Caenorhabditis elegans: one gene and its partners. The protein of the gene in region 1 purifies or fractionates together with the protein of each later gene. This does not show direct contact. Each region holds a gene or a part of one and is shown in the gene's direction. Other genes may lie near its edges. The genes, in order: cash-1, clp-1, R05H5.3 and ost-1.

Region 1 (6,122 bases):
GAAAAAATACTTCAACACTCAAAAAATGAGCTTCAAGAGTACAATTGATTCTTATTTGGGAATGCAAGGAATGGATACAAGCAAGATTTGGTTGCAGATAAGAAATATTATTGGAGAGGTAATATTTAGAACTCTCAACTAATCTCTGTGATGCATATTTTCTAGATATTCAAAGGAGACGATCAAAAAATTTTGCACACTTTTTCTGAACTTCATTATCTTTTTTCAGGTCTTCCGAACACAGCAAACAAAAATGCTAATGAGTCTTCAAAACTTGAAATTAAATCCACAATACTTTGAATTAAGCAGATTTGATTTTGTGGTCGATGATCAATTGAACGTTTTTCTTATGGAGGTATGCATTTATTTTTCAGAATCATTAAAATTTACAAGACATCTTTGCAGGCGAATATGTCTCCTAATCTCTCTTCAGGTCATTTTAAACAAAATCAAATACTTTATGAACAAGTTCTAATGAACATTTTCTCTCTAACTGGAATTTCAACACCAATTACAAAAGAAGCTGACATCTTGTTCAAGTTCGTTTATTCCATTTGAAGCTGTCCACAAATTAGATTTCCCGTTCTAGATCACGTACATCCGAACAAAATCCTCTTGTTAACTCCCGAGACATCAATCTTCCGCTGAAATTTTGTGTTGAAAATAAATGTGAATCATGTGATGAGGCTCCAGAATGCCAGCTATGCGGACACTGTATGAATACAGAAACAAGGAAAATACTGGAGCAGACTTTTGTGGAAAATTCGAACAGGAAGCAGATGAAACGAATTCAGTTCGACTATGAAAATCATCATCCATTAACAAAAGAAGATCATCTTCTCACATTATGGTTAAGCACCAAATGTCAATTGGATAATACGTGGTGTTAAAGTAGCGTGCTGTACATTTTATTATTGTATTGGCCAAAACTATGACGGTCCCGGTTTTTTCAAAAAATACTTAGAAATTTTCAAATGCAACTTTCTGGGAGTTTTTAAGACAATCTTGCATAGCGGGTTTTGAGATTGAAGTTTTTTTGAAAGTTTCTCTTGATCTCATTATTTTATTCAGTAAAAATTGGTCACCAACTGAACGTTATCTTACTGTTTTTGAAAAATAAATTGAATATATCGGATATAAGTAATCAATTTTAATTTTCAAATAAATCATTCCGTTTTTGTTTTTCAATTTTGTTTTTGAAACAATCTTTTCGATGAAAAAAGATATTATGTGATGCAAATAAGTACCTGAATATGCTTGAAACGTAATACGCGTGAAATTTAGATAAAATTTGAGACAATAAAATCTCATTCCTTTTTTCTAACTACATCAGCAGGTGATTAAATAATATAATAAAAGTTTCTCCAAGATCCAAAACCCAAGTAAATGCATTTGATTTTCAGCTGGTGGTTTTATGTTGGCAAAGTTCAAGTTTCTCATATTTTTGGTTAACGGATACAGTCTGCTAAGCCACTTAATATATTAGCATTTTGAAATTCAAATGGAAAATAGATTTCACATTTGTATTTTTTAATTGTTAGTGGCATACGGTACTTATAGAAAGTCTACCTTTCAAATTTGAAAAGGCGCCAATAATTGCAACGAATATGCGCCCCATTGTTAATATGAAGACGCGCGCCGAACACGCGACGCAGACAACGGCACTCGTTTTACTCGCTCTTCCCTTTTCTTCCTCGTGCCTCGGGGCTGCGTCCACCTAATCGAATCAGTTTTTCATCAGTCTCGTACGACTTGATGCTACTTTTATTTTATCAGCTCATCTATATTGATTACAGCCCTAATAAGCAGTTTCAATTTTGCCACAAACTTCTCGTCCTCTATTGCAATTAAACTTTTTGAAAATCTTCTTATACACGTTTCGTAATTTTTTTCAACTGTTCTTTCCAGCTTTTGCACTTGCTTCATTAACGTAAATTACTCGAAATAAGATCGGATTCGAGTAGTTTACAATGGAGGACGCCAGTCAATTGTCAAACTCACAAAATGACAAAGCAAAGGACGAAACGGTAAGTTGAGTTGGAATTCAGCTTCTGTAAAAATCGAAAACTTTACAGACTCGTCCTCAGTATACAATGTCGGGTATTTTGCACTTTATACAACACGAATGGACAAAAAATGAGTTAGATCGAACTAGGTGGGAAGCAGAGAGAGCCGAAATGCAGGTGAGTAAATATTTTTTCTACGATTGTAATGTGAAATTTTTGTAGGCTCGTATTGCTTTCCTACAAGGAGAAAGAAAAGGTCAAGAAAATTTGAAACAAGATCTTGTCCGTCGTATCAAAATGCTCGAATTCTGCCTGAAACAAGAACGTGCCAAAAATTATCGACTAACCCACAACGGCGAAGAACCACCATCACTGGAAGAATCTCCAAATGAAAATTCAGCGCCAAGCGGTAATTTCTATGAAGACGTTCCGATCGAAAATATATATTTCAGAAAACAGCCATTTGACGGCCGACCTTGATGCATACATAAATGATGCTGGTGAAGCTGGAGGTAGTTTCAGGCAGGGACGCCTTCTTCTCAAACGTTATCTGGAAGAAATTGGATACAGCGAGCACATCATGGATGTTCGATCCTTCCGTGTAAAAAATCTTCTCGGATTATTACCCCAAGTATGAAAATTCAATAGTTTGAAAAAAAAACCAATCTGTTTTGAACTTCCAGGCTGATCTTCCATCCAGTGAACGTCTCAATGGTAGAAAAGAGAAAAGTGACAGGTACTTATTCACTACTTTCTTTTTGAACACATAGCAATCGTTCTAAGTAATTACAGTGATTCCGATGACGGACATGATGATGCAGCCTTGGATGCTGACGCCTCAAAGGCGTTTGAAGAGTTTGATTTTCTAAACAATATGGATGCGAAAGAAAAAGGTTCTGACGATGACTGGGCAGGAAAAGGAGCTTCATTCGAAAAACTGATAAAACAATACAAGGACGATCCAAAAGTGAAGCGGCGTTCAAGGACGTCAACTGAAGAATCCGAAGAGAAAACAAGCAACGATGTTCAGAAAAATCTAGAGACTGATGTTCCACCAGGAATTCGATCAGCTATCGATGCCGCTGCACAAGAAGAACTTCCAGTTCGGCGACAAGGTAGACGTAGTGCTAATTTTGGATATGGTAACGGAAATGAGTTGGACGTTGCTCTTGGAATGCAAGATAATGATAATATGGACATTAAGGACGAGTTCAAAGATGAAGTGAGTTTTTCAGTTTTAAAAATAAAAGAAAAATAATTGTCAAATTCAGGATGATGATCCGAATGCACAACAAGTGAAGTGGAATATCAAAGTTACTCTACGATCTCACCTTGATTCGATTCGCGCGATGCAATTCCATCCAGTTGAGCCCGTACTATTTACTGCTTCGGAAGACGGTCTGATCAAATTATGGAATCTCGATCAAAAGAAAGATGAGAAACACAACAGTGGTGGTACCGAGCTTGAGCCAGTTTATACATTCCGGGGACACAAAGGCCCTGTTCTATGCTTAGTCCTGTCGCCAACTGGAGATCATCTCTACACCGGAGGTATCGATGGAAACATCTGCTGTTTCAATGTACCATCTTCAAACGGGGATCCATTTGATTCTTATGGTAAGATTTATTTCTTAATTAAAATGAGCTGTCAAAAACTAATTAATCACAATTTGCTTCATTTTGTGCAAAATCGTTTGGAAAAAAAAGATTATGCATTGAAATTAGTATCGTCCTTTCGCAGAAACGGGACACTAGATGCATAATATTTTATGAAGAATTTGGACTTTCTCAGTGCAATTTTAGAAGTTTAGTTTTCTCTCAAAATCAATTTTCTAATAAAAGTGAATCATTCGTAGCTACCACTATGACTGAAATCGTTATGAGACCCACTCGGAAAACGATGCGTGCCTTTAAGCTAACAACAAAATTTCGCCAAATTATGATAACATGTTCAAATATCAAAGTATCAGTTACCTTTTGCGATACAGATTCAAACGATTCAACGCTATTTTTAGTTTAAATTTTCGCCAAACAATAAGACTAAAGTTAATTTAATAATTAGTTCAAATTTAAGGTTATGTTATTTATTATAGATCCACGAGTCCTAACTGAAACACTTACTGGACATACGGATGCAATTTGGTCGGTGGCTTATCATTCATCAAACAGTCGCCTTGTTTCTGCCAGTTCTGATTCAACGGTTCGTCTATGGGAACCAGGAAATGGTGAACCACTTATCAGAACTATTGGTGCCCCAAAATCCGGAATACTTCCGACATCAGTTGATTTTGTATCTACGGAAACATCACATTTACTTGCTGCATACACAAATTGCTATGCTCAAATTATTGATATCGATACTGGAAGCACTGTCATGGTGTTCGATTTCGGAGCGGTTACAGGTTCACCAACAATGAACAAAATTGTTAGTCATCCAACAATGCCTCTCACACTTATTGGCGGTGAAGATCGGACGATTCGGTACTTTGACAACACCAACGGATCGATAATTCATGAAGCTATCGCACATGTTGAGGGAGTTTCTTCTCTTGCTATTGATCCAAATGGTCTTTATCTTTTGTCTGGAAGTCATGATGGTAGTATCAGGATGTGGAATATGGAGAAACGTTCATGCCTTCAGGTATATTTTTTTATAAATTAAGAAACTGTACAAATGTAGTATTTTTCAGGAAATTTCTGCCCACCGGAAAAAGAATGATTCAGCAGTTACCTCCGTTGCTTTCCATCCTTCAAGATCTCTTATAGGATCTGCCGGTGCCGATTCTCTTGCCAAGGTGTACGTGTCAGGAAGCAACTAGAGTATCCCATTCATTTTTTTATTATTATTTCCCTATTTTCATATTTCGCCAATTTAACTTAAAGTATAATAGGAATTCGCCAGTTCGTCTCCCAGTTCATGCCCAAATCCACGCCTACATACCTTCATTTTTATTACTACAACAGTACCCTTTATTTTATTGTAGATAACCAACAACCATTTTTATTCAAATCTAAACGTAATTTATCTGTCCCCTCCTTCCCTCGATTGATTTCTTTTTAAATATGAAATTTGATCACGGGTCGAAAATGAGCATTTTGACACTTGTCAACCTAATCTGCAATCCTGTAAATATTACGTCGCAGTTAGCTCAAATTAACCATCTTCTGAAGTGGTTGCAGTGGTTATTTGGGCGAACAATTTTTTATATTTTCTATGGCAGTAATGTGAAACAACACCGATACAAATCGGGTTAAAACAATCTATAGGATATTGATTGATTAGCTCATCTTTAAACTGCACAAATTTCGACTCGTGTTCCTATTTCTCTTAGATACCCTTTCTGCGCCATGTTTTGTTCTCTCGGCATTGTTTCCATTCTCAAAACGCTTAGTTTTAATCAATAACCAGATATCCTCGAGAATCCAAATTCAGACCGTAAGTTCTCATCATTTTCCTCTACTTCATCCTCGTCTCTCTTTACCATTATTATCTGTTATTCTTTGTTTCTATCTCGGTCGACTGACAGTGTTTCAACTATGTCTTGAACTGTATCATAAATTACTGAGAATTCTAGTTTGATTTTTTGCACGAATACAGAATTTTTCACTTCTACCATTTCAGTGTTGGGCAATTGGGCAATTATCAAACGAAAATTAATGATTTCTTGAATTTTATAAATTGAGTACCGTAACCAGAAAAAAAAAACCATTTAAAACCATCTATTGATCCAATAGTCGATGAGGAATGGCAATATCTACTTTTGCTGGAAACTATGTGACCTGAATGAACATTTTCTACGTCAGACCAAACGCTGAATGGGAAGATTAAGGTATATCTATAAGCTCGATTCCAAATTGAAGAACCCAATAGATATAAATCAATCTAAAATTTTAAAGACAAAGAAAAAAAGTGAATAATAAAATATGCTAACTAACTAAATCTCGTGTCATTGTTTTATTCAATTGTTTTCTGTTCTCAAGAATCAAACTGATTAAGGATTATGTTGAAGAGAAGTTGGAAAAAAAATGTCGCCAAGTTATTTTATGTTTGACTTTTTCGCTTTTGGTTTTCGTTTTAGAAATATTTATGAATATTACGTCATAAAGCCATAATGT
Region 2 (7,537 bases), on another chromosome or scaffold:
GCAACTACATTCCCGTATACAAAAGTTCTTTCGACCAAGAACAAAAAAATTTCAGTTGCTTTTCTCCTTTGACAAAAATTAACAAATAAAATGAATATTTTAGGAGCCAAATAAAAAAAATTAAACAAAAAAGAACAGTCCTCATTTGGATTTAGATTTCTGTAATTGTAAGTCGTAAATCCGCAACATCTAGATAATCGTCAAATGGGGCTCAGACAGCTCAAACCCTGGCTTTTTGAATGATTGGCAACCAACGTTGGTGAAATTTTCTCATTTTTAAATCGCTCACCACTTCTTTATTCTAAAGAGTTCTCTGGTCACTCACCTATAAATCCAAAAAAAAGTGCTTCGATACACAAAATTTTATTCTCTTTTCAAAGAAAAAGGGACCTTTTCCTCTATGCTATCGATCACCTGCGAATAGAACCTAACGGAAAACAAAAACAAAAAGAGCAACTGAGCCCCGGAGCCTCACCAAAACCAATTATCAACGGCGCGGAACATCTTTTCCCCTCTATTTCTGCCATCACATTCCGTTTCGAGAAAAAAAAGAGCAACTTTTTCCTGCTCTGAGCCATAGGGTGCTCCTTTATTTCCGGTTGGTCCCTCTAGCTCTCCATTTCTCAAAACGAGCTGCTTGTTGCTCCCTTTTTGAGCTCATTCTGTGCTCGTTTCTCGAGGAGAATTGCCCGGTGCAATGAATGTATTCAATTGTTGTCTTGTTGGTGAGTCAAATTTGTATGAAAAAAAATTCAAGAAATGTATTGTATTGTTGTCTACGTGTGATCCAGAGTATCTTCAGAAGGTGTGGTTTTTTTTCTGAACTCTAAATTAAAAAAAAAACACATTTTCGGCCTGCTCCTGACACTGAGTTGACATGTCCTTCGCTTAGACTCATGGGAATGTAGAATTGGTTTCAAAAGCAAAACACGCAAACTCTGGTCCCCCGCAGCTTTTACATCGATTTCCAAATGTTTTTTGTTCGTTTTCTCGGTTTCAAAAGACAATTTTATCCGTATCAAAAGGTCATACAGGGAAATTTCGGAACAAAATTGAAAGAAAAATCCTTGAATAATTGAAAATCATGTTCAAAAATTACGATTTGCTTAGTTTTATCTGATTTTCTGAGCATATTCTATATTTCGAAACCCATTGAATGTGGCAATTGTTTTTTTGGTGTGTTGTGCCTCACTCCAATACCAATTTCCGTGACGATTAAATTGAAAACAAGACCGAAAAACCAAAAGAGAAACAAAAAAATAAAATCTAGTTTTTTTTTCTCCCCCTGTCACATTGAATTTATATTTTTATCCGTTTCCAATTAGGTTCATCCGTTTTGTTTGCCATCGATAGCTAATTGATGACAATCAAATAAATTAATAGATAAAGTTTCTATTTCCATTAACTCAAATTTCCTTTATTCTGTCAACTAAATTTATGTTGTTTCGTGCTCAGAAAATATGAGAAAAAAAACAGAAAAATGCATGCACAAAAAAGTTGACGCTAATCTTTGTCTCCCCAACTCCGAAGGCTCAAAGAGCACGCAAAGGGCTTATCGATTTTAAGAATTACACATTCCTTAAAAAAAGCTCTAACTCTAAAAATTATTTTATGTTTCCATTCTCAATTGCTGTATCCCCAAGAAGAGGTAAAAATTTGTTTTTTTTTTCTCTATGTTGTGAGCCTGATTGCTCTGCTTCTTCTGACTTTTTCGTTGAACAAAAATCAAATTTTATTTCAAATTCATAGATATTCTGTTTTGCAGACCCCGAAAATCGTGCGGCAGGCTCAAACGAGGAGGAAAACTATCAAAAAAAGACAACAACCGACGGTTTCACAGCAAAAGCCGACGGAATCAAAATGGCTGACGATGAGGAAGAAATTATTCAAAAAGTCGAAGTGAAGCCGGATGAATTCAATGGATTAATTGGATCAATTGCTGGTAACCTGATTAGAGATAAGGTTAGTTTAATTTTTGGTTAGAATATTTTTTTTTTAAATTTGCTACATAGACATGTTGAAATTTAATTGCAACCTAAAACTAATTATCTCACAGGTCGGTGGCGCCGGTGGTGATATCCTTGGAGGCCTTGCCAGTAACTTCTTCGGAGGTGGAGGCGGCGGAGGAGGCGGCGGCGGAGGCGGAGGTTTCGGTGGTGGAAATGGAGGATTCGGTGGAGGTATTTTTATTTTCAAAATTGTCAGACAAAAATTCCCTAAAAATTCAAGTTCCTTTTTTTGTGTTAGAAAACATTTAGATTCACTCAAAACATCACCGTGTGGCTTAGATCAGTGAATTTTTTCTCACACCTTATATGTTGTCCATGTTATCGTAATCCCATTTGCTGCTACAGTAATCCATAGGTTCGAACTACGATCAAGGCGGGAATGGGAACAGCGGAGATCAACAAAAAAGGAAACGAGACATGGCGAAAGACTTGATTGGAGGAATATTCGATAATGTGGTGAATAGGAAAGGAAAGAAGGAGCAGGATAACTATGGTAGCGTTTGTGTTTTTTTTATTTGCTGTTTTGTGCTTTCTATAGATTTGATTATATAATTAGCTTAATCATTTTCTCAAATTTTCTGAACATGGTCTGTAATTTATTATCCTCGGTTTTTTTTCTAGTTTTTCATTCTTGGACGTCTGGGAATGTGAAGCTTCTTTGTCTTTTGTTCCGTAATTGTTCACCAATCTTCAAGCTTTTTTCTTGAAAATAGCGCAATTCCACGCTCATAGCACAAATTCATCAACTTATGTTAAAAATCAGGTGGAGGTCGACAACAGCCGCCACCAAATAACAATTTTGGTGGTGGAGGTGGATCTGGCGGTGGCGGAGGGTTCGGAGACATTCTTGGGGGACTTTTGAGCGGCGGAGGTGGCGGCGGTGGACAAAGAGGCGGCGGAGGGCAAAATTACGGTCTGAGAGTTTGAAAATACAATAAGTTAAGCTTCTACGCACTCACCAACACTCACTTAAATACTAACAACACCACTCATTTCCAAAATTTGATTTGAAAAATATGGCTATTTTGAAAGAAGCTTTAGACTTTTAAATTCTCCTGTTAATTCGCTTTTGACTGATGATTCGTGATTTTCCTTTAAAAATGCAATATTTTGCATGTTTGCTGTGATATTTCGTGTGAAATTTAGGCGGAGGCGGCAGTGGCGGTGGCGGTGGTGGAAACAACATCGGAAGCTTGGTCGGATCACTTATTGGTGGTGGTGGTATGCATTAGGATTGTAGTGTGCATGTAGTATCATAAATGTTGTGTTAATATTTTAATAGTTAATAGAGCTGATGATCAGAACATTTATAGATCTTATTGACACTTATTTATCACATCTAATTGTATTTCATTTCTGAACTATCTACACAAATGTGGCACCCATGAAATTCAAGCTAGAGTAATATTTTAGGCGGAGGTGGTAACTACGGCGGTGGTGGTGGAAATCAAGGAGGCGGCGGAGGCGGTGGCTTTAACTTCAATGATATCGGTGGACTCATCAACAGTATGGGAGGTGGTGGTGGTGGTGGCCAGAGACAAGGTATAGAACATTTATTAATATACTTTGAATAATTTGAAAAATTTTAGGCGGTGGTGGAGGAGGCTTCGGAGATATCCTCGGAGGAATCGGATCTCTCATTGGCGGAGGAGGCGGTGGCCAGTACAATGGTGGAGGTGGAAATGTGAACCCGAATAATCTCAACGGTGGAATGGTGAATGTTATCGGAAATCTCATTGGAGAAGCTGCTCACAGATTCCTCGGCGTTGATCCGGGTACAGGCAGAATCATTGGAGCTGTCGCTGGAAATGTGATTATGGGACTTGGTGGAAAAGATAATTCTCTTGGAAATATCGGAAAAGTTATTCTGGACAATATTATTTCTGGAAAGTTCCGTAGGGATGTTGATCCATTCGTTCGTCCAGGACCAGATCCAGATAGAGGAGGTGGTGGAAGTGGTCCAAGCCCTATTTCACCAAGACCAACTACCGAACCACAAGACTTCTATGAGCTCAGAGATCAATGTCTTGAGGTGAGTGTTCAAAACATATCATTTTTAAAATAATAAATTCAGAGCAAACGACTATTCGAGGATCCACAATTCTTGGCCAATGATAGTTCGTTATTCTTCTCGAAACGTCCACCAAAACGTGTAGAATGGCTTCGTCCTGGAGAAATCACAAGAGAGCCACAACTGATTACAGAGGGTCACTCGAGATTTGATGTTATTCAGGTTAGCTCTTGGATTATTTTCAGAATTTTTAATATTTGAAATGTACTATTAAAATTATATATTCTTTCAGGGAGAACTCGGAGATTGTTGGCTCTTGGCTGCTGCAGCCAATTTAACTCTCAAGGATGAGCTCTTCTATCGTGTGGTTCCACCAGATCAATCTTTCACTGAAAACTACGCTGGAATCTTCCATTTCCAATTCTGGCAGTACGGAAAATGGGTGGATGTTGTTATTGACGACAGATTACCAACGAGTAACGGCGAGCTTCTCTATATGCATTCTGCTAGTAATAATGAGTTCTGGAGTGCACTTTTAGAGAAGGCATATGCAAAGTAAGTTCGGACTTTTGACCGACATTTATGAAGGAATAAACTAGTTAATTAATTTTCAAGATTGTTCGGATCATACGAGGCTCTCAAGGGAGGTACCACATCTGAAGCACTTGAGGACATGACTGGAGGACTCACCGAGTTTATCGACCTCAAAAACCCACCAAGAAACTTGATGCAAATGATGATGAGAGGGTAGGGATTAAAGTCTAATTTACATTATTATCCAAAAACGAGTTGTGCCAAACTACAGTACCCGGTCTCGACGCGACAATTTTTGTTAATTATGAATGTCTGTGCGCCTTTAATGAGTACTGTAGTTTCAAACTTTCGTTGATGCCGAATTTTCATTGATTTTGCATAGTTTTTTGTTAGAAACAGAAATAAAACAATTAAGAACACACAAACTATGAAAAATCGATAAAAAATTCCACAAAAATAAAATCTTGAAAGTAAAGTACTCTTTAAAAGTGATCCCCTATTTATATTCGACAAAAAGTTGTCGTGTCGAGACCGATTACCGTATTTTTTGCGCAAATTTTAGCGTCCATGTATTAACAAAATTTCAGATTCGAGATGGGATCCCTATTCGGTTGCTCCATCGAAGCCGATCCAAATGTTTGGGAAGCAAAAATGTCGAATGGTTTAGTGAAAGGACACGCCTATTCAATTACCGGATGCCGAATTGTTGACGGACCAAATGGACAAACTTGCATTCTTCGAATCCGTAATCCATGGGGAAATGAACAGGAATGGAATGGACCATGGTCAGACAATTCACGCGAATGGCGAAGTGTTCCAGATTCTGTAAAACAAGATATGGGACTGAAATTCGATCATGATGGAGAGTTTTGGATGTCATTTGATGATTTTATGAGGAATTTCGAGAAAATGGAAATTTGCAATCTTGGACCAGATGTTATGGATGAAGTCTATCAAATGACTGGTGTCAAGGCCGCTGGAATGGTTTGGGCTGCAAATACTCATGATGGTGCATGGGTTAGAAATCAAACAGCTGGAGGATGCAGGAATTACATCAGTAAGTAAATATTCATCTACAAATATTTTCAATTTTCAATTCAGACACTTTCGCCAACAATCCACAATTCCGAGTTCAACTTACCGATTCGGATCCTGATGATGATGATGAACTCTGCACTGTAATATTCGCCGTTTTGCAAAAATACAGGTAGCGCCACCAGATAGGGAAATCATTTTTATTTTTCCAATTTTTAAGACGTAATCTGAAACAAGATGGACTTGACAACGTGCCAATTGGATTTGCTGTCTATGACGTGAGACTATTGTTATTTTGAAGAAAAAACAGGATTTGGCCTGAAATTTACGACAATTCTAGAAAACCTCAACTTTAAATAGAATAGTTGGAACATTTGAAAACTTAACTTTCCCCTAAAACTACTAAAAAATTTTTAAACCTTTTAAATACGCTAAAAATTTACAGATGAACAATGTAAGTTGGCTAATTGAAAATCTTGTGAAACCGGTAAAATTGTCCAAATCACGTCGTTTCTAGTTCAAAATAACCCACATTCAGTGAACCTCACCCACTTTGTTTAGTGTGTATTGTTTTATTGTTGAAGTACACGTGCTGATTTTTTGACATTATCTAACCAATATTTATGTTTTGTTGTTTACTATTGGATGTGTGAAACGTATCAAATAACAGAAAAATGCAGTCATTTGAAAGAAAATTGTATTTTCTGTCTCTGTGTTCGTCCGAACCAAAGATTTTTTCAAGCTTTATAAAATTACATACTATTCAGGCCGGAAATAACCGTGGTCGACTGAGTAAACAGTTCTTCGCTGCCAACAAATCCGCGATGAGATCGGCCGCTTTCATCAATTTAAGAGAGGTAATTTTCTATCTTCAAAATTAAATTTTAAAAACCAAATTTTCAGATGACTGGCCGCTTCCGTGTACCCCCGGGCAACTATGTTGTCGTTCCATCAACATTTGAACCAAACGAGGAAGCCGAGTTCATGCTCCGTGTCTACACGAATGGATTTATCGAGTCGGAGTGAGTAGTGAATATCAAGATTTTGTACTTTGTTTTGATTTAACAGAATATATAAGCTGAGCTTCTGCAGGTACTAATAATTCATTGATTCAATATTTTCCAGGGAACTGTAAGCCATTCTACTCACAACTACAACAACAAATAGCAAGATTGGATCTTCCTATACCTATTGTTTTGATCCACTTCGTTATGTATAAATCTCTCTGTCACTCGTTCTATTTTCATCATTAACCCCCCTACCCTCTCTCTCTTTCCTCAATCGTCCCTCTTTTCTCCACTCTTTCTGCCTAATTTCCCGTCGATGTTTGCCGGATCTGCTCTGTAGAATTGTAATATTTTGATATGCTTGTTGTTTCACTGTATTCTTTTTTTTTGCCTTTTCCAGAGTAAATAAATTTTCTAGTTCTGATGAAAGATATCCAAAATTTCCGTCTTTTCAAAAATCAAGCCTGTCAAAAGATTAAGCATACGAAGTATTTTTAAATGAACAAAATTATCTTATATTCTTCAACACTTAAAAAATATTCACAGATTTCATTAGTATTGACTCTGTCGCTACGAATAATACCACATACACTAAACCATTTCTGATCTAGCTTTAAAAATTTCTCTTTTTTTAAAAATCAATTAGGAAAGATAAAAATATATTTACCTCGAGTAGTGGGAGAAACTGTAAAAAATCACGTTTTACGGTGAAGTAATAATACTTTTTTTTAGCAGCTTCGAACAAAAGTCTTTTTTCCAGCCCAATTTTGCATAAAATTTGTTTTTATTAAAATGAGAAAAAATTCATTTCTTTAATCGATTTCCAAAGCTTCGACATTACCGTAATCTTTAAAGGCGCACATTCTATTCTGCAGTAATCGTATCCTTCGTGTCGAGACCGGTCGGTACCGTATACTTTGGACTCACTAACTTTTTTTAAT
Region 3 (3,030 bases), on another chromosome or scaffold:
ATCGTATAATTACAGATTTACAGAATAATTCTTTCAGGCCCACCACGTCGTCATCCCTTTCTTGGCAGTCTCCAAGTGTGATTTGTTAGTGAATCCCGTGAAAAACCGTATCTTTCAAAATATCGGCGTTTTCGGTATTTCTTGCCCAATGCTCACAATTCTTGGAATAACTGCTGAACGCCTTCTGGCTCTGATCTTTGCTCGTTGCTACGAAAATGTTAAGCTTCATATTGGAGTGTTTATCGGTGTTTTTGCAGTGAGTAGCGTTATTATTTTTTATTATTAAAATTAAAATAAATAGTTCAGATGCTTTGCGACATGGCACTTGTCTATTTCTTCTTCCTCGATGAGAAATTCGATCAACCGTCCATCTCATACTTTATGGTTCCTGATACTTCCGGTTATAAAGTGAGTTTTCCCAGGGAATTTGGAAATTTCACCTAGGCGGCATTAAAACATAAAACCATAAATTTCAGATGAATTGGTTATGCTATTCCTTACTTGCTATTAATAGTGTAAATTTAGTTTTCAATTATTTTTTGGTAAAGATCAACACTATTTTGAAAGAAAAGTAAGATCAGATTTAAATTATTTTAAATGCAAACACTGAAAATTTCAGATGGCGTAATTCTTTATCAACTCGTTATCAAATGGAAGAGAACATTATAACCACGAAATTCTCCACTTTTATCTCATTTATTCATGTATTCTTCTTCTCGCTCTATCTCATTTTCACCCTAATTATTCGTCTTCTAGGACCAGGATTTTTGAAAACACAAGCCGATTTGATGTCGGTCAGAGGTGTTTACATCGTGAGAATATGGTGTTCGACAAATCATGACTAAATTACATTTTTTTCAGACTATTCCCACGTATAATTTGATTATTGGTATTGCTTCATGCGTCATTCTACGGCATTTGCAAAGACAAAAAGTTGCAAAAGTTTATGCGGAAGTTACATTGAAGTATTCTGGAATTGACGGGGCTCAGATTCATCAAGAGGCTATTTTAAATGTTTGGAAGACTAAGTCATCAGGACGGAAGTGACTGATTTATAATTGAAAAAATATATTACACGACAATAATATTTATGTTTAAATCGATGTTGTGCACAAAGGTGTGCGCCTTTAAGAAGTACAGTAACCCATCCCAGTTTTTTCGCAACTTTCGTCAACTTTTATACTTTTTTATCTGAAAAATTGTTTTATTATAGAAACGAAATTGCAGTACATGAAAAAAAGTTTTTTTAACTACGAAAAACGTTTAAAAAACAGTATTATGGGTTACTGTACTTCTATGGCACAATCAATAAATATTGCGTTGATTCTTTTTCTAAACTTTGTTCGAGCGAGAACAATTATTGTGCTTTTTTCATTGAAAAAAATTTACTCTTTATTAAAAAAAAATAATATTTCGAATGTAATCTTGCTTTATTTGAGAGTCAATAGTTCCGTAAGATCAACAAATTCATGAGTTCTCTTTGCAAGCGCGCTCTGTGGAGCGGCGCCAGAAATTGAATTCGCCGCGAAAAAGAAGCGCTAGAACGGAAATTCGAAAATTTTCTTCTCATTTCCTCTCATTTTATCGAGTTTCTTCGCTTTTTTTTTCATTTTTTGCTGCGTTGGCTAACTCCAAGAGCTTTCTCCACAGATACCCCGGTTTTTAAAGTCTTATATTTAGCAAATTGTGAGCTTTTGAAGTTGTTTGATGCGAAAACTCTTCGAATTTTATTGCAGAATTTATAGCTTATAGTTAACCTTCATTTTGTTCGCATTTCTTCCGCCGGTGCCATTTTACCATTTCAATTTATGAATACTTCTAGCTTTTATTTTTCAGAAATGTCCGAATTGCTCGCTGGAACCAAGTTGATCAACCAAGACAGCGAAGAGCTCGATGCTGGCGAGCACCTCAAGGGAAAGGTAAAACATTTCTTTTTTTTTTGAAGAAAAAATGGCAAAATTAATATTTCCAGGTCGTCGGACTCTACTTCTCGGCCAGTTGGTGTCCACCATGCCGTCAATTCACTCCAAAGCTCACTCGATTCTTCGACGAGATTCGCAAGAAGCATCCAGAATTCGAGGTTGTTTTCGTGTCTCGCGATCGTGAAGACGGTGATCTCCGTGAATACTTCCTTGAGCACATGGGCGCCTGGACTGCAATTCCATTTGGAACTCCAAGAATTCAGTTAGTTTCAGCTAAAATCGAATTTTAAATGTATACAAATAATTATTTTCAGAGAGCTTCTTGAACAATACGAAGTGAAGACGATCCCATCAATGCGCATTGTCAAGCCAAACGGAGATGTCGTTGTTCAGGACGCTCGCACCGAGATTCAGGACAAAGGAAATGATCCAGAAGCTCTCTGGGAAGAGTGGCTCGCTTTCTACGATTAAATTTTCTCCACCAACGTAACACCAAAAAATTTCAAGTTTCCTTTCACTCTAATTTATCAATTGTCACAATTTCTCACCATAATTTCAAATATTGCGGCTAATTTCGTACATTTCCCATAAAAACTTTCGCAGCCAAAGATTTATTTACATTTACAGTCTAGATTTATTCGGATCCACAGACTTCGTGGTTGGCTCTGACGACACGGACAATTTCGATTTTTCCACACTTGTAGGTGGTGCCGAAGTAGTGATGGAGTTTTCCGTTTTCTTCTTGAACTCTTCCAGCTTTTCCTTCAACTCTTCAGCGGTTGGTCGTTTTTCAGCATCTACTTGCCAGCACTCGCTCATGATTTCCACCATTCTACTCGGCATTGATGGTGGTGGAGGGAGGCGATATCCGGCTCGGGTTTTGCGCTGAAAAATTCAATACACATCTAGATCCTTTTTGGCAGTATTTACCTTGACTTGAGCAGCTTTCATCTCAACATATGGCGACTTGAATGGGGTCTCGAAAAACTCCCACATCATGATTCCAAACGCGTAGACGTCAGTGTTGAAACGCGTTTCCCCGTTGTCCCAAACCTCGGGAGCCAGCCATCGGATGTTGCATGGCTTTTTAAGATCAACTTTGTAGACG
Region 4 (5,872 bases), on another chromosome or scaffold:
ATTTTTGTGTGAACCCATTTCGAAGCGGTTACACGGGGTTCTGACCTTCCTTATTGAATTTTTCGCGCTCCAATGACAATCGGCCGCCGGACAACGTGTGGGAAAGTCGACAAATACATTTAGTTTTACAACTAATAACCGAATCGAGCCGCGACGCGACACGCAACGCGCCGTAAATGAAGATATGGCCGAGCCAAAATGACCTAGTTCGGCAAACTCTTCCATTTCAATTTTACAAAAAACTATTATCATAACACATAATCTCCTCGAAATTCCTTATATTTTGTCAGTTGAAAACTTTTTTCTACCTCTTCTCCCCGCCGAGAAAACGGCTCCTGAAATAACTAACGGGAAAGAGCGCAGAGGGAAGAGAGACGCAGGCTGCGCGCGCGCTCTGCGTCTCCCCTCACCCCACACTCTCTCGCCGCACAATCTTAAATCTTAAAAAATTCATAACTCAGTGGAGAGAAGAGCTACAAAAATGTTGTCAACGAACAAAATGTAGGAATTGTTACGTAGAATAGATTGTTAGTTGACAACTTTTCGATAACTTATATTCTCAATGAGATATGAACAATTGAAGATTTCCTCACTAACAGAAGGCAGAACTCAATATCGATCAAAAGTGCAACATATTTTTACACTTTGTCGGCTGCCACGATCTGTAAAAAATATGAAAAAGCACAGCGTTTTGAAGTAAACAGGACACCGACAGCTGTTGTTAGTACGGATGTAATTTGATAGCGGTCAACTGGAATGGAAAATGCGTTGCTACAGGACAAAACTACTTGCAGTGACCTGTGGAATTTATTTAGGAACGAACAGGAGTATAAGGAGCATATTAAGTCAAAACTTATGGGAGCAGAGATTCGCTGCACCATGTTTCGAATTACAAATTTAACGGTTTTTGTGCCATCAAAATAAGTTCCACTACAAATAGTTTACAATTCATTGATAACTTTTGTTTTTTCTGACCATTTTCCAGCTGCTCGGAAATTTTGAAAACAGTAAAAGTAGAAGGTAAAAATATGAAAAATATTCATTCCAAATTTTGTAAATAAAAAATAAATGAAGCTTTGATGCAACATGTCTGTCAGCTTATACCACAGATACAATTAGTGATATAAAAATACTATAACTATGTAGAAAGGTAGAGAATAAAGATGATAAGTGTTTTTCAGTTGACAATTTTTGAATAAAACTAACGACAATCGAGATATCAGCTGTCAAAGTAGAGATTTTTCCTTACGCTGCACATGGGTCTCCTTTCAAGGATCATATCTTGATTACAATTGAGTGTATAAACATGATTCTAACAACAAATTTATATATGAGAATATGTCAAACATTTTTGTAGTTGACAGTTTTTGAACAAAACAGAAGACAATCGAGATATCAGCTGTTAAAGTATACATTTTCCCTTACGATGCACCATGTCTTAAATTTCAACTTTGGAGGATCATATCATGGTTACAATTATTTTTAATCGTATGAAAATGATTGAAACAATAAAATTAAATGCATATATAAGAATATGTCACACATTTTGTTAGTTGATAACTTTTAAACAAAAAAGAAAAAACCGAGATATGAGCCTTTAAATGGAGAACTTTCCTAACGATGCACCATGTCTTAGATCTCAACTTTGGTGGTTTATATCTTGGAGAAAACCAAGAACAATGTTGAAGATGAACTATAAAAAAGTGCACATTATTTAATTTTAAAGTTTATTGCACAATCCAATTAATATTAGTCACTTCTCCATAGTCCCTTCTCCCAATAAATTGCACTTTCGATAATTCCAATCAATCTTGTGTCAATTTTCTCTGTCTTTCTTTTCCACCGGGCCGATATTGTGCAACATTGTGCCAGCCGTCTCCTCACATGCTCCGCCCAGATCTGTGTGCTCGGTGAGCCCCCAGCGGGTCCTCTTCATTCGCCGTCCAAGATGCGTTACGCTCTTGCCGCTTGTCTCCTGCTTCTGGCAGCCTCGTCTTTCGTTGACGCCAAGGTATGGGCTTTGAGGGGATTTTTTCAGCGAATTAATGAGAAATTTTCAGAAAAAGAAGATCGCTGATGATGAGCTCGGAGAGCTCCTCGACAACATCGATGCTGATGAGGAGAAGAAGAGTGGTGAGTAAACTTGAATACGGTATATATCGGCAATTATCAGTTCTATTCAAAATCTGCCAACTAACGAATTAATGCAAATTTCATAAGCTACAGCTTGTCAAAATTTAGCTATCGCAGCTGACACAAGCGTTAGTGCTGCTCACATATTTTCCAACAACTTGTTAGCTGACAACGTTTTGATAACTTGCACAGTCATGTCCCTTTTCAATTTTAAACCGGTGAATCTCAAGAATCATAGGCGTTACTAAAAGAACTACAATTAGTTTCTTAAACAAATTCTTGATAAAACCAAAAGCGATCCTTCGATGCACCATGCTTCTAACTTTAGTTGACGAGTTATAAAATTAATAAATATCCTATAGCAAAGTAACTAAAACTTTGTAAAACTTCCTACAAAATTCAAAAAGTTACGGCATTTTCGAAAACCTAATCAATTATCATCCATCATCCATAGTCCCAATCCTCAAGAAACCCAAAGAGTTTAAAACACATTCGAAACCCCTTCCGACTGATAATGATGATGATTCATAAACTGCCAATGTCCCAATCAATCTTGTTGCATCTGGCCAGCTAGCCGCCAGCTCACGGAGCCATCTCCTGGGCTCCTGCAGTGTAAAGTTGGAGAACCTTCGAAGATGCTCGAAGCTTTGTGCATTTCACGTCATGTGGTGTTGTAATATGAAGGCTGCTGCGGCGGCGGCGGCTCCGTGAGCAAGAGAGGAAAACGAGCACTAATATTTATGGGGGAACTTAGATGGGGTAGCTAGAGATGAAAGTGCTGAAAATAGATCAGGCGTGGGCAATTTGTAGGAAATTTTGTGAGAAATCGTTTGTTAGCGGACAATTTTTCACTAACTTTAATGATTGCCAAAAAATTCCGGTTTTAAATTAGGCTGCCGAACTTTTGATATAAATACCTCCGCAACCATTAGAGCTATCAAAGAGTTTTCAACCAACAATTTTAGGAAATTTTGTGAGCAATATTTTGTTAGTTGGCAATTTTTGAATAGCTTTACTGGTTGGCGAGCTATACGCTTCGGCGATTTCGCCAACTTCCGACCCCTGTAGCTCTGCCAGTTTCAGTACTATCAAATTTTTGCCAACTGGCAATATATTACAAACTCTTGGAAAATCATTTTACAGTTCTCAAACTCTTCTGAAAATTACTATATTTTGCAGTAGAGCCAGCCAAGAACCCATGCGAGGACCACCAGTGCGGATGGGGAAAGGAATGTGTCGTCGGAAAGAAGGGAGAACCAACTTGTGAGTGCATCTCAAAGTGCCCAGAACTCGACGGAGACCCGATGGATAAGGTGGGACCTAACAAAATGTTAAAGCTTGAAGTTTTAACAGTACTTTGTTAACTGATAACTTTTTTTTAGCTCTGCTGGTTGCGGAATTATAATTTTTTTAAACTAGAACTTTGACAAGTTCTAACTCCTCAGCCGTTACAGCTATCAAAAATTTGCTAACTACTAAAATGTAGCTTAAAACATGTTCTACAAGTTGTTAATCAATAATTTTTTAAAATCTAGCAATCTAACAATGTTACTCCTCTTCAAACAAAAGTTATCATTCCAGGTGTGCGCCAACAACAACCAAACCTTCACCTCCCTCTGTGACCTCTACCGTGAGAGATGCTTGTGCAAGAGAAAGTCCAAGGAGTGCTCCAAGGCTTTCAACGCCAAAGTCCACTTGGAATACCTCGGAGAATGCAAGAAGCTTGATGAGTGCACCGAAGAGCACATGGCTCAATTCCCAGAACGCATGGCTGACTGGCTCTTCCAGGTGGGGGTTGAAAGAGGCTAATAGGTGCCATTAAAAAACTGACAAATGGCACATTAACGTAAAAGTTGTTTGAAGCAGTTTGTTAGTTGACAATATTTTGTTAACTTCAAAACTAGCAGAGTTGCGGGGATTTGAAATTTCAAAAATTTCAAAACAAAAAATTTAGTAGATTTTTTTTTCAAGTTGGAATATCTCAGCAACCAGGGTTGCTTTTTAAAAAATTGTTTTCGAGAAATTGTAGCAAATTTTATGAAATTTAAATATTTTTAAACAAATTTTGTGTGTTCCAACTGATTGTCGAGTTATCGCTCCGCAAATTCGGCAACTCAAAAAACCCACAAAAAACGAAAAATGAAAAAAAAAAAACGTTTTTTCAAACCGATCCAACTCCGCTTGTTTCAAAGCTAGCGAAATTTTGTCAACTGAAGAAACACCATAAATTACTTAAATTTTATTAATCTCAATTTGTTTCAGGTCATGAAGGAGCTTAAGAAGAGACGTGAGCTCCACAAGCTCGAGTGGGAAGAGCTCCTCTCCGAGGCCGAGAACGACGACGAGAAGAAGCACGTGTACCCAGTTATCTGGAAGTTCTGCGAGCTTGACACCAAGCCACATGATAAGGTTAGTAAGAAGCTTGGTTTAAAAAAAAAACGATATATTTAAAAAAGCTAAAATTGAAATTTTGAGAAATAAAAAAATTCAAGCCAAAAAAATTTTAATTTATAAAAAATCAAAACTTATCAATTAATAAATTTAGACACAATGTTAAAAAAAAATATTCAGAATTAAAAAAAATCAGAAAATGTTTTATTTCCCAAAAAGAAAACATTTTTTGAAAGTTTTTTTAAAACCCTACTGTAAATTTTAAAAAATTAAAAAAAAACATTTTCGAAAATTTTTAAATTTTAATTTTCCACCCAAACCTAAAATTTTCTGAATTTTTTGAATTTCCCACTCTAATCCCACTATTTTCAGTCCGTCTCCCACCACGAGCTCATTCCAATCACTGCTCCAGTCATCCCAATGGAATCCTGCATCAAGCCATTCCTCGAGGGATGCGACGCCAACAATGACGGAAACATTTCAATTAAGGAATGGGGAAAATGCTTGGGACTTAAGGAGGGAGAGATCCAAGAGAGATGCTAAATAATTATCTAATTAAAAGTTTAAAAAATTCGAAAAAAAAAAACTTTCCCAAAAAAAATTCTAATCCAGCTTGCCGAACTGCCAACTTGCTCACATGCTAGAAATATCTGTAAATTACAGATTTCTAGGCCATGAACCCCCTATTTAACCTCAAATATCGATTTTTGAATTTTTTTTGCTTTGCTGAATCCAATGTGCCAAATCTCAGTTGAACATAATGATATCCTACTGATTCTTTTTAATTTTTTTCTATAATTTTCAATTTTAATAATAAATGTTTATTTTATTGATAATTACGGCAATTTGTGAGAGGAAAAAATTGAAAAAAAAAGAATTTCAGAAAAAATTCCAAAATATCAAAAAAAAACCACTTCCAGATTTTTTCCATATAACTCGGAAACCCTAGAAGCTACCAAAAAGTTGTAAACAAACAAAATGTAGCTCTGACAATTTGCAACATTTTCATAGTTGATATGTTTTTGCTAACATGTGTGGTTGCCGACTTATATCCCTCGACATGTAGACAACCAAAAAAATTGCGCTTCTCAAAAAAAAATCAATACGTATCAACTTTTGTTACATGTGCATTATAGTGCATCATAGGTCGGTGATTTGGAGAGCCTCCATGATGAGATCCATGCTGATCCACGTGGATCCATGACATTGTTGGAGGATGCACGTGTTCCGGGTGGTGCTCGGCGAGCAACTTTCGGTGAAAGTGAGTGAAAACCAGGATGGCGCTGAGATGATCAAGTTTAACTACCGTTTAACACATAAACCATAGAAAAATCTTTAAAACTGACCG

The links.
Region 2: the proteins of cash-1 (region 1) and clp-1 fractionate together in Caenorhabditis elegans (co-fractionation; one large-scale study listed by BioGRID). This does not show direct contact.
Region 3: the proteins of cash-1 (region 1) and R05H5.3 fractionate together in Caenorhabditis elegans (co-fractionation; one large-scale study listed by BioGRID). This does not show direct contact.
Region 4: the proteins of cash-1 (region 1) and ost-1 fractionate together in Caenorhabditis elegans (co-fractionation; one large-scale study listed by BioGRID). This does not show direct contact.

What each region holds. Positions count from the first base shown.
Region 1 is NC_003283.11:10,360,355-10,366,476, forward strand, and holds cash-1 (Striatin N-terminal domain-containing protein), read left to right. Parts: upstream 1-1,906; 5' UTR 1,907-1,970; coding exon 1,971-2,027; intron 2,028-2,075; coding exon 2,076-2,183; intron 2,184-2,228; coding exon 2,229-2,415; intron 2,416-2,458; coding exon 2,459-2,637; intron 2,638-2,689; coding exon 2,690-2,742; intron 2,743-2,789; coding exon 2,790-3,228; intron 3,229-3,277; coding exon 3,278-3,623; intron 3,624-4,099; coding exon 4,100-4,647; intron 4,648-4,696; coding exon 4,697-4,825; 3' UTR 4,826-5,580; downstream 5,581-6,122. Other genes in the region: putative tubulin polyglutamylase ttll-15, read left to right, coding at 1-118, 230-355, 406-539, 590-890.
Region 2 is NC_003281.10:7,979,309-7,986,845, forward strand, and holds clp-1 (Calpain clp-1), read left to right. Parts: upstream 1-1,765; 5' UTR 1,766-1,860; coding exon 1,861-1,962; intron 1,963-2,056; coding exon 2,057-2,180; coding exon of another isoform or gene 2,181-2,296; exon of another isoform or gene 2,297-2,364; coding exon 2,365-2,502; intron 2,503-3,155; coding exon of another isoform or gene 3,156-3,230; intron 3,231-3,422; coding exon 3,423-3,551; intron 3,552-3,598; coding exon 3,599-4,041; intron 4,042-4,083; coding exon 4,084-4,242; intron 4,243-4,312; coding exon 4,313-4,575; intron 4,576-4,635; coding exon 4,636-4,767; intron 4,768-5,141; coding exon 5,142-5,611; intron 5,612-5,655; coding exon 5,656-5,761; intron 5,762-5,809; coding exon 5,810-5,867; intron 5,868-6,034; coding exon of another isoform or gene 6,035-6,043; intron 6,044-6,356; coding exon 6,357-6,446; intron 6,447-6,492; coding exon 6,493-6,611; intron 6,612-6,714; coding exon 6,715-6,724; 3' UTR 6,725-7,020; downstream 7,021-7,537. UniProt on the Caenorhabditis elegans protein: Calcium-regulated non-lysosomal thiol-protease which catalyzes limited proteolysis of substrates. Required for assembly and maintenance of integrin attachment complexes which are essential for maintenance of adult muscle.
Region 3 is NC_003280.10:10,195,789-10,198,818, forward strand, and holds R05H5.3 (protein-disulfide reductase), read left to right. Parts: upstream 1-1,836; 5' UTR 1,837-1,838; coding exon 1,839-1,919; intron 1,920-1,972; coding exon 1,973-2,184; intron 2,185-2,236; coding exon 2,237-2,393; 3' UTR 2,394-2,530; downstream 2,531-3,030. Other genes in the region: srb-6 (Serpentine receptor class beta-6), read left to right, coding at 38-256, 307-408, 477-571, 620-812, 862-1,047; R05H5.4 (Tyrosine-protein kinase), read right to left, coding at 2,544-2,807, 2,853-3,030.
Region 4 is NC_003282.8:1,105,501-1,111,372, forward strand, and holds ost-1 (SPARC), read left to right. Parts: upstream 1-1,895; 5' UTR 1,896-1,948; coding exon 1,949-2,011; intron 2,012-2,060; coding exon 2,061-2,133; intron 2,134-3,312; coding exon 3,313-3,446; intron 3,447-3,714; coding exon 3,715-3,921; intron 3,922-4,395; coding exon 4,396-4,542; intron 4,543-4,896; coding exon 4,897-5,067; 3' UTR 5,068-5,372; downstream 5,373-5,872. UniProt on the Caenorhabditis elegans protein: Has a high affinity for collagen. Affects nematode body morphology and mobility. Essential for C.elegans development and muscle function.